Linked DNA regions of Daphnia pulex. The protein of the gene in region 1 interacts with the protein of each later gene in a pairwise test. Links are inferred from orthologs where the notes say so. Each region holds a gene or a part of one and is shown on either strand. Other genes may lie near its edges.

Region 1 (4,581 bases):
TCTATAGAAATCCTTGGCATTACTTCAAACATGGCTCGGACTAAACGTGTGTACCATTTGTCAACATCAACCCGCCGTTCTGAATTCTTGAAAATATTTTCAATTATCACAGAAAATTCCTAGAAATGAAATAAAAGGATGCCGTGGGGAATTCAAAATAAATTCAAAATACAACTAACTTACAAATTTTTAATTTTGTTACTTTACCTCGAAATTAGAAATGAAAGGAAGAATCCCACATTTGGATTTCCTAGGCTGTTTTGAATCTTCAATCGAGCGAAGCTGAGTCATAAAAAACCGATCGAATGCTCGCTTCACGTGCACCAAAGATGAACCAAATGTAACACTGAGGAAGGAACCGGTATCGGTTGCAGACAAGACATGCTGACTAAGTCTCACGAGGACGTACAAAGGTGAGCTAGAAATAATAATAGCGATTAAAAAAAAAGCATTCCAATTTAAAAAGTACAGTATTCTAAATCACTTACAAGCTATCTACTTTCTCATAAGTAGCAAGAAAGCTCACAAGCTCCGGTTCAAGAACAGTAAACAAAACGCTCATCATTTTGCGCACTTCTTCGTTAATGGCTCGTTCTGGGGTTTTGTTACTTGTTGATGATTCATCCGCTTCATGGCCTCCTTGATCCAGTGCAAAAAATGCGACACAAAATTCTTGTTCCACTAGACATACTGGTTCAAGTTCGGCTAGTGCGCATTCAAGCAAGTCTTCTAGGCGTTTTCTTTCATGAATATCAACTTCAACCTGTAATAAACATATTTATCAATACATTTTACACATTTAAAATTTCGTATAGTATATTGTACCGTCCAAAGCTCTCTTTCATTCCCTAACAAATTTTGACTCGGCATTTGTATTGTTCCACTAGGGCTTGCCGCGGCGACATTTGTTCCTGAAGGATTTTTAATAGACAAGGAATGCCTGGTGCCCATGTCTGAACCCGAATCACTTCCACGAACTGCGGTAAACATGTTATAACCAGAAATCACTAAAGGTGGATTCAAATAAAAAATTGCTTCTCCTTACGTTTTTTCTCTCGCAATCCTATCACTTTCGAACGCGCTTCATCAAAGAACTGCCGTAGATCTCTTTCATACAATTTACATATTGATGTAGTGTATACTTCGAGTAGTTTCTCATAGCAGGCATGGTCTGTTGCTTTTAGCCAATGCATTAAGGGAGCATACATTTGTAGTTGAGAATGCAGTTTCCCGTGTTTAGCCAGTGACACTGTTGTTTGCGAAGAGTTTGAACTTCTAGAGCTTTGACTACTGGTTTCTCCAGAATCATTGCTCTAAAAAGAAAACCAAAAAATATTATTGAAGGGAAAAAAAAGCGTAAGTATAAACTGATTTTATTACTAAGTGAATGAAGAGGTTGTTGAGTTGGCGAGTAACTGTGGGTGTAAATTTTGCTCGCCATTTCTCCAACTGCCGTCGCTGATCTTGAACCGCAACCATTTTCTCAAGTCCTTAAGAGTGACGATTAGAGAAATGAGAATAGAATTATTTTATTTTGGTTTCGAAAAATGCAAGTACCTGGTTTTAGTTCAGCATTCATAGCACGTTGAAGAGATTTAGCAGCTATTATAGCGTTTTGAAGGCCTGTAGGACTATTTAAGTCTGGATTGTTCAAAGTTACTTGCTGGGAATGTGGAATATCTAAATGTGCCTGTACCACAAACACATTGATTGTAGATGCGGATAAACGAGGATTGAAAACGGCAGCCTTACGACTAAATTATTGAGTTCCATAAGTAGAAGACGATTGTTACGGTTGGCAGTTTCCAGGGACACATTCTTTTCACCTACTGTTGCCATTGCAACCCGGGCTTGGAGTAGAATGTTTTCATACTTGTCTAACTCGGTTTCAATGGATGCAGCTTCATTTTCGGCTGCTTCGAGAAGGTTCAACAATTGTATGACTTGAGCTTCAGAGCCCATCAAGCTTTGAATATTTGCCTATAGTAGAAATCAGTTCAGTTATGATATTTCAAATGATAGATTTTTATTGCATAAAATACTCCATCAAGTAAAGACAAGTCCTTAGCCAGTTGCTCCATAAACTTTTCTGCATTACTCAAGGCATTATTGGACTGAGATAATAATCGTTCCAGGTCTTTCTCTTCTCTGTCTGTAAGGGCTTGATAATCCTCCTCACCAATGCCTCCATCCATTGGACCACTGACTAGTTTGAATCAAACAGGTGAACAACTTATAAAATGCTTCACAAGTTTCAATTTGATACCTTCATGATCTAATGCTACGGATGTTTCTGGTATCACTGAATCTTCTATGATGCCTGGAGGGATATTAACAAACATTGGACTTTGTTTCGGCAAATACTTTGAACAAAGTTTCCATAAAATGGAAAACAAAAGAAGCCTTTCTTGAACATTAGATGCAGACCAAAGGTATACTTTGTCAAAATGAATGCTGAATTCAGCTGTTTCCTACAAAATAAAAAATTACAATTGTTTTAAGAAGATGACACAACTCTTTGAGGGTCTGCATGGGCAAACCAGACAAATATGAAAACAATTTCTTTATACCTTGTTGCCATCAATACCATCCACAGTTTTGAGCTCTTTCAATGGCCAGCTACTCTTCTTCTTGTAAACATTGTTTTTCTCAGTTTTCTTTACCTGTTTATTGAAAATAATGACAGAATAAAGAACATAATTTGGTGCATGGGAAAATTGAAGTAAGTATACCTTGTATATTACGGCACCGATGCCTTGATCTGCAGTAACTGCAACGCACAAAAAACAAGGAAGTGCCTTCTTTTTCTTGCCAACACTAGTCACATGAGCCAATCCAACTAATCTTTCTTCAGCAGGCGAAAATAATTCTCGCTGCAAACTGTGCCTTAGCGCAGCCATTTTATTAAACGAAGAAGTAACGAGAAAATGTCAATCAATCGTCAATCAATCGGCTAACAATTAGATTCAATAACAATAACGTTGAATCGCCAGCAGGTTGCATACACTATATTATGTCTGCTGTGTTTCGTGACAACTGACAATATTGCAGACGAAGCTGTCCCACCCACCATCTGATGGTGCTGTCCTCTAACAGTGATACGGAGAACTTATGAAGTCAAAGGGTTATTTTTTAAAAAACGCGGAAACTCGCGCGTGCAGCAAACGATCGGATTATTTATTCATAATTTTAATGGGAGGAAGGGGTGGACTATCAGACCGAGGGGCGTGTACAGCAGATCTGGTGACCATAATTATTAATCTCGAATTTTCACTGAGAACTACTCTTGAAATATAACATTATAACATTTATCTTAAACTTGATTTTCTAGATTTTCATTTGTCTCATTTGTTCATTTGTTTTCCTTAACGCTCAACGTGTCGAAAATTTCATTTTGGATATTTTAGCTCAACCGTATTTCTTAAAAAATTCACAAAAGTGTTACAGTACAACAATATGTATTTATATCAGATGCACATAATCATTCAGATTCATGAATTTTTTGTTTTGCATACCGAGATTATTATATACGATAAAGATGTGAATATTATGACACTTGACGCACACAAAAGTTAGGCCCGCCATGTTCAAATAACACACGCACATTTGAAAAAGGAGAATTTTGGCATGTAGAGTCATCAAATCGCACACTCTTCAGAAATAACATATTGCAACAAATGATGCCAATAGAGAAGAGTCCCAAATAAATCTGGCGGTGTGATGTCGACGCATCGCTTCGGTCAAGAAATATCAGAATAATATATGTACACGAAGGAATAACAGAAAAAAAACGTTACAACTCTAAACACAATTCTTAAAGTACAAAAGAAAACAGGATCCAATGTCAGTAGTGATTTCAATATATCTCTTTTACTGGTGGGTGTGTTTGTAATATATAGAAATGGACAGGGAAGGAAAGTAAAAAAAAAGATGAATAAACCATCAAATATGTCGAAGAATGTTTCTACTCGGATTCCATCTCGATATTTGATTATCACATGAGACGGTGATGACTACGCTTCATTTTTCGGCTCGAGCAGTTTTTTGTTTTTCTTTTCCTGGTGACGTAAAAATACAGCGCAAATGATTCCGTCAAAGATTACAAATTAGAATGACAGAGCACCGTAATCATAATCAGATTTTTTTGTTATTTTTGTTATTTTTTTTTTTTTACAAAGCACAATATTTTTTAGTTTCGAAGTACGATCATGGGTTTGGTGGATTAATTATAAAACCCTGTTTTTTTTTCAGTGTTGCCCCCGTCTTTGTTGGCGTGACGACAAGCGATGGCTCTTGCGCCGTTTTCGCTTGGTGTCGTCTCTCCGGAAAATAATGTTGCTGGCATCATCGGCCAATTGCGGGTAGTCGTAGATGCTGTGCAAATCCGAGCCGACAAAGCCGTCGACTCTTCCGTTGGTCATCAGCTCCACCCTTTCTTCAACGCTCCAGTCCACCTGCTGGCCGGGCAATCCGCTTTCCACCAACTGTTTCTCGCGCAGCCAAGCGACTTCAACCGCTCGCCGATGAGACGACCGGAGTATTCGCTGTCTAGCCGCTTCCACTTCGACACCGTAGCTGATG
Region 2 (4,670 bases), on another chromosome or scaffold:
TGTTGGGCAGCCGATTTAATGGCATCAATACGATCCTGATGAGAAGCCACATCTGCTTCCAATAGCGCATGCTTCTTTTGCAAGTTCTGAACGCTAGTCAAGTCTTTCCCATAATCCTCGCTCAAAAGCTGGCCTTCTACTTCACTTAGCCAGATCTCCAAATCTTCAACACCTCGGTTGAATTGCTGCTGTTGGGAGGCCTGGGCCAGTCTAGTTCCCTTGCGTTCGGTGGCAGCTAGAAGGGTTTCCCACAAACGAACAATTTCTTCCAGACGAGCATGAATCCTATCAGTTGCCCAATGATTGCCTTCAATCAATTCTCGACCCACAGCATCAAGTTCTTCAATGCGACTCTTGTTTGCAGTCAATTCTTGCTCAAAAGTCTGGTGTTTCTGGACTTTGCCGTTCAAGTTAGTAGGGTCTAGGTAGCTGTCATCAGTGGCAAATTTCAGTTTCTCGTTAATCCAGCCTTTGGTTTCATCACAATCTCTTTCAAATTGCTGCAAACGGAAAGAATCCTCTAGCAATACGCGACGTTGGCTGGACTTTTCAAGCAAAGCTCCGCGGCGATCTAATAAAAGCGCACGACGCTGGGCAACGTCCTCAGCAGCATAATGTTGGCCTGTTAATGGAAAATTATAAGCAACCATGCTGATGTTATAAATTATTCAAATCTTGAAAATACCTTCGATCAGTTTTGAAGCAAATTCGTCCAAAGCTTTAATTTTCTCTTCTTGCGCCGCCAATGATTTCTCAAAGTCTTCGTGTTTCTTGATTAGCGCTTCGACAGAATCTAGAGAATCACCCAAATCTTCGTTCGACAGGAAAGCCTCTTGTTTAGCCATCCAAGTATCAGCTTGCTCCGTATCGCTTTAAATTAAAGGGAAATTGGAATAGAAGCATAAAAAAGGTATCTTTTGGTAGAGCTTACCGATAAAAAAGTTGAAGATCCATGCACTGTTCGTACAAAATCCGTCGCTCTTCCCATAAAGTCAACAAATTTTGTTTCTCGTTGGACAAGGTAATCAGCTTTTCGTTGACTTCCGACGCAGCCCAATGTTCTTTTTCTACTAAGACCTGGCCAGCGTCAGCTGTAGCTCGGAAGCTATCTTCCCTTGCATCAATTTCGCCCTACTCAAACAATTGTAAAATAAACTTGATGGCTATGCAACTTTACTGACGAACAAAATAAACCATACCCTATGTTCTTGATGACGTTCCAGCAAGGCCTCAGCGCCTGCAACATCTTTAGCTAATTCATCAGCAGCGATAATGGCTTTCATGTCATGAATCCATGAGACTAAGTCACGGAAGTCTGACAAGAAGCGGTGCAGGAAGTAAGAATCATCCAAACGACGTTTGCGTTCCTATTTATAAAAGGATCAAACTCAATATAGTAGTCATATTGAAGCAATTTGGCGCATGTTTAGATTACCTTAGCTTTACCAGTTAACCTCTCCCAATTGTTTTCAATCTCTTGATGCTTGGCTTTGATTTGATCTGCATGATCGGGATGAATGCCGCATAAACGAGCAGCTTCTTGGCCTAAAGTCATCACTTTATCTTCCAAAGCTGCTAGATCACGCTCAACACCCTCATGCTTCCGCTGCAGTGTCTGAACACTAGCTAAATCGCGACCGAAATCGTCCGATGACAATACGACATCTTTTTCGGTGATCCAGGCAACTGTTTCATCAGCATCACGATTAAAACGCTGGATTTCGTGAGCGCCAAAAAGTTTTTCTTGACGATTCAATGCCAAAAGTCTCAATCGCTGCCACGATTCTTTAAGTTCCTGTAAATAAACAGAATAAAGATTCGATTAATTTGAATTCATTAAACAAGTAAGTGATTTTAAATACCTCCTTGCGACGGTTAATAGTATCAACTTCGGGATGGCCGTCTTTGACCAAACGATCAGCAAGTTCCAAGACCTCGGTAACTCTAAATTCTTGCGCTGCCATATCTTTCTGGAATTCGTCAAATTTACGTTGCAATACTTCAACGTGCTCTAAATCTGACCCAAACTCATCAGATGAAACAAAAGCCTCCTAAAAAAGAAACATTTATCAAATCTAAATTCTTAACGAAAACTAGAGTAATGAGCGAACCTTGTCATTAATCCAGAACATAACTTCATCACACTGACGCAAAAACTGCACCAGGACGAGAGCTTGTTGCAATTTCATGCCCTTGTCAGCCAGACGGGATAGAAGCAATTCCCATAAACGATGAAGCTCTTCCAAACGTTTTTGAATTACGTCCGCTGAAAAATGGCCTTCATTTATCATTTCAAGTCCAATATTGTCAAGACTGACAATAGCATTGCTGTGTGCAGCAACCTCAGCCTCAAATGCTTGATGTTTCTGAATTTTGGCTTGAAGATTGGTAGGATCCCTGTAACTTTCATCTGAGGCAGCTTGAAGCTTCTCAAAAATCCAAGATTCCAATTCATCAGCATCTCGCTTGAAGTATTGGAAACGACGAGAGTCTTCCAACTTGTCACGCTTGGCTCTAGCATCTGATTTAAATTGAGAGTAGCGAGACAAGACTTGATCTCGTCTCTCTTGGATATCTTCAGCTGTCTCAAGAATCCTCACTTCTTTCGGAGCTATGGTCTGCTCCATGTTGCTGGTAGACTTTCTGAAATAAAAAATAATAATTACATTGTAGCACTGTCATATGTGAAAGTGATAAGAACTAGCACAAGACACTTTGGTTATCTCCACAGCTATTCAGATAAGATAAGTTTAAATCAAAAGGAAAAAAAAGCAGTACTTTTATCAATTCAAATTGTTCATATGAAATTCCTTGAGCCTTGAGAATTTAAATTAACGAACATCTTTTAAAATAACATATCCGGTTGTGGTATGGGTGGGGCAGGGAACGATCAAACAAAACGCCAGCCCGAGTAATTGTTGTTACTGTGGGCATGTAAATGCAGCTGTTTTTAGTGAAAATAGAGTTCTACAACTTCGGGATTCAATTCAGATGATACACAACTTCTTACTTATTACTTCAAACTCACCTTCAGTTAAAGTTTAGTATTCCTAATACACTTTTTTGGCGTTCCCCGGTCAAGAATAACACTGTTAGAAGCGTTCGTTCACAACTTCAACTGCAGACAACTGCTTGTAACCACACCTACAACAAAATGGCCGAAGGCTACAGAAATGAGGGGGGGAGAGAGCTGACTTGCGCAGAGATGACTTGCGTTGATTACTTCATATCCTTATCGCAAAATATGTTTAAAATGTTGGGTGATTGAAATAAAACAATGATTTTTCCATACTTATTATCAAACAGTAGAGTTCACAAGTATTTATGATTATAATTTTAAAAATGTATTTCATTTTCTCAAAAGCGCACTCTATTGGTGCATACTTGTCTGATGTGGTGGAATGCGTCAACAGCTAAAAATAAACCATGATTGTGCTTATTTTAGTACAGATTTTATGCTCGTCCGTCTTGTTTTTGACATCACTCTCATGGCGACTCTCAAACTTTGGATGTCGGCTTTAACAAGACAAAAAGTCAAATAAATTGTTTTAAATATGTTTAATTATTACTCCATATGAAAATTAATTTTAAAGAGTTGGACAGTTCACACGATACTTCGAAAATTAAATATAAAATCCACTAGGATTATTTTAGCCGGAGAAATTTCCCGACTCCATGTAAAACAAAAATCGAAGAAAAGTACACAGTGCTAGTGATACTAGCGGATAATCACAACGACGCAAACACGACTATATAGAATTAAAATATAATATGGCTTCATGACTGCATCGCTGGAATGGCGATTATTACACCCTCTATATGCCGGTCGATGCCGGGTCCCATCTTATCCCGACTTCCTACTTAAAGACACTTCCACATTAACGTCTCTTCCGGCCATTCGCCTATACCCGCCATACCATATAGTTATTAGTTAACGTCTCCGCCAGCATAAGGGAACATCATTCAAGCACTAGGCTAAATATTTTGATAAAGTTGAGGTAATTTTATTCAAAAAGAAAGTTTAATAACAACTAACAAGCAACTGCCTTTTTGAATAACTTTTACAAATTACAAATTTTTCCACAAGTATACTTTTCCATATTAGTTCTTACTGCAAAAACTTAAGTATCGTCACAGTGACGATATTTTGATCTGTGCTCTTTAGGGAACAAGCTGGATCCCAAGATCTAAATATTCCCATTGAAAATGCAAGGTCAATGACCATTTTCTGACCTTCTGTCTATGCATTCGTCAAACTAAACCTCGGAGGACGAATAGTTAGTTCTTGTCTTCTGGTTCCCAGCCTAACTTCTGGTAGGAGGCGCAAAGAGGACCTTAATATCGAAATCTTGCGGTCTTTCCTTTGACCTTAACCATACATCTTTTTCATTTGTATGACCTTGCTTTTCCCTATAAATGACTTGCGATGCACACACACATTGCCAGTCTACATTCTGTAGTTCATCGAGTAGCCAGATAAAGTAGACTACTCGATGAACAACAGAAAAGGGCCACGACAAGTAATTTCTATCTATTTGTGTATGAATAAGATGAAATTACTCGTTTCGAATGATTTTACTGATGTGGTTTTTATCCAAGTTTTAAGCTACGTTATACATAGCGTCTGGGCTACCGCATTAGAACAACAGGATTACCACGATACTTTTTTT

Evidence for each region.
Region 2: the proteins of exocyst complex component 1-like (region 1) and spectrin alpha chain-like interact in a two-hybrid assay, tested with the Homo sapiens proteins (2 studies listed by BioGRID and IntAct). The link is inferred for Daphnia pulex from reciprocal best matches to the Homo sapiens genes EXOC1 and SPTAN1.

Annotation. Positions count from the first base shown.
Region 1 is NC_060019.1:8,326,595-8,331,175, forward strand, and holds the start of exocyst complex component 1-like, read right to left. Parts: upstream 3,087-4,581; 5' UTR 2,901-3,086; coding exon 2,733-2,900; intron 2,664-2,732; coding exon 2,571-2,663; intron 2,472-2,570; coding exon 2,267-2,471; intron 2,207-2,266; coding exon 2,043-2,206; intron 1,981-2,042; coding exon 1,753-1,980; intron 1,691-1,752; coding exon 1,558-1,690; intron 1,491-1,557; coding exon 1,381-1,490; intron 1,314-1,380; coding exon 1,046-1,313; intron 978-1,045; coding exon 826-977; intron 764-825; coding exon 489-763; intron 419-488; coding exon 208-418; intron 120-207; coding exon 1-119. Other genes in the region: teneurin-m-like, read right to left, coding at 4,248-4,581.
Region 2 is NC_060017.1:5,642,266-5,646,935, forward strand, and holds the start of spectrin alpha chain-like, read right to left. Parts: upstream 3,178-4,670; 5' UTR 3,029-3,177; intron 2,644-3,028; 5' UTR 2,628-2,643; coding exon 2,112-2,627; intron 2,052-2,111; coding exon 1,863-2,051; intron 1,796-1,862; coding exon 1,436-1,795; intron 1,368-1,435; coding exon 1,200-1,367; intron 1,132-1,199; coding exon 932-1,131; intron 871-931; coding exon 686-870; intron 623-685; coding exon 1-622. UniProt on the Homo sapiens protein: Fodrin, which seems to be involved in secretion, interacts with calmodulin in a calcium-dependent manner and is thus candidate for the calcium-dependent movement of the cytoskeleton at the membrane.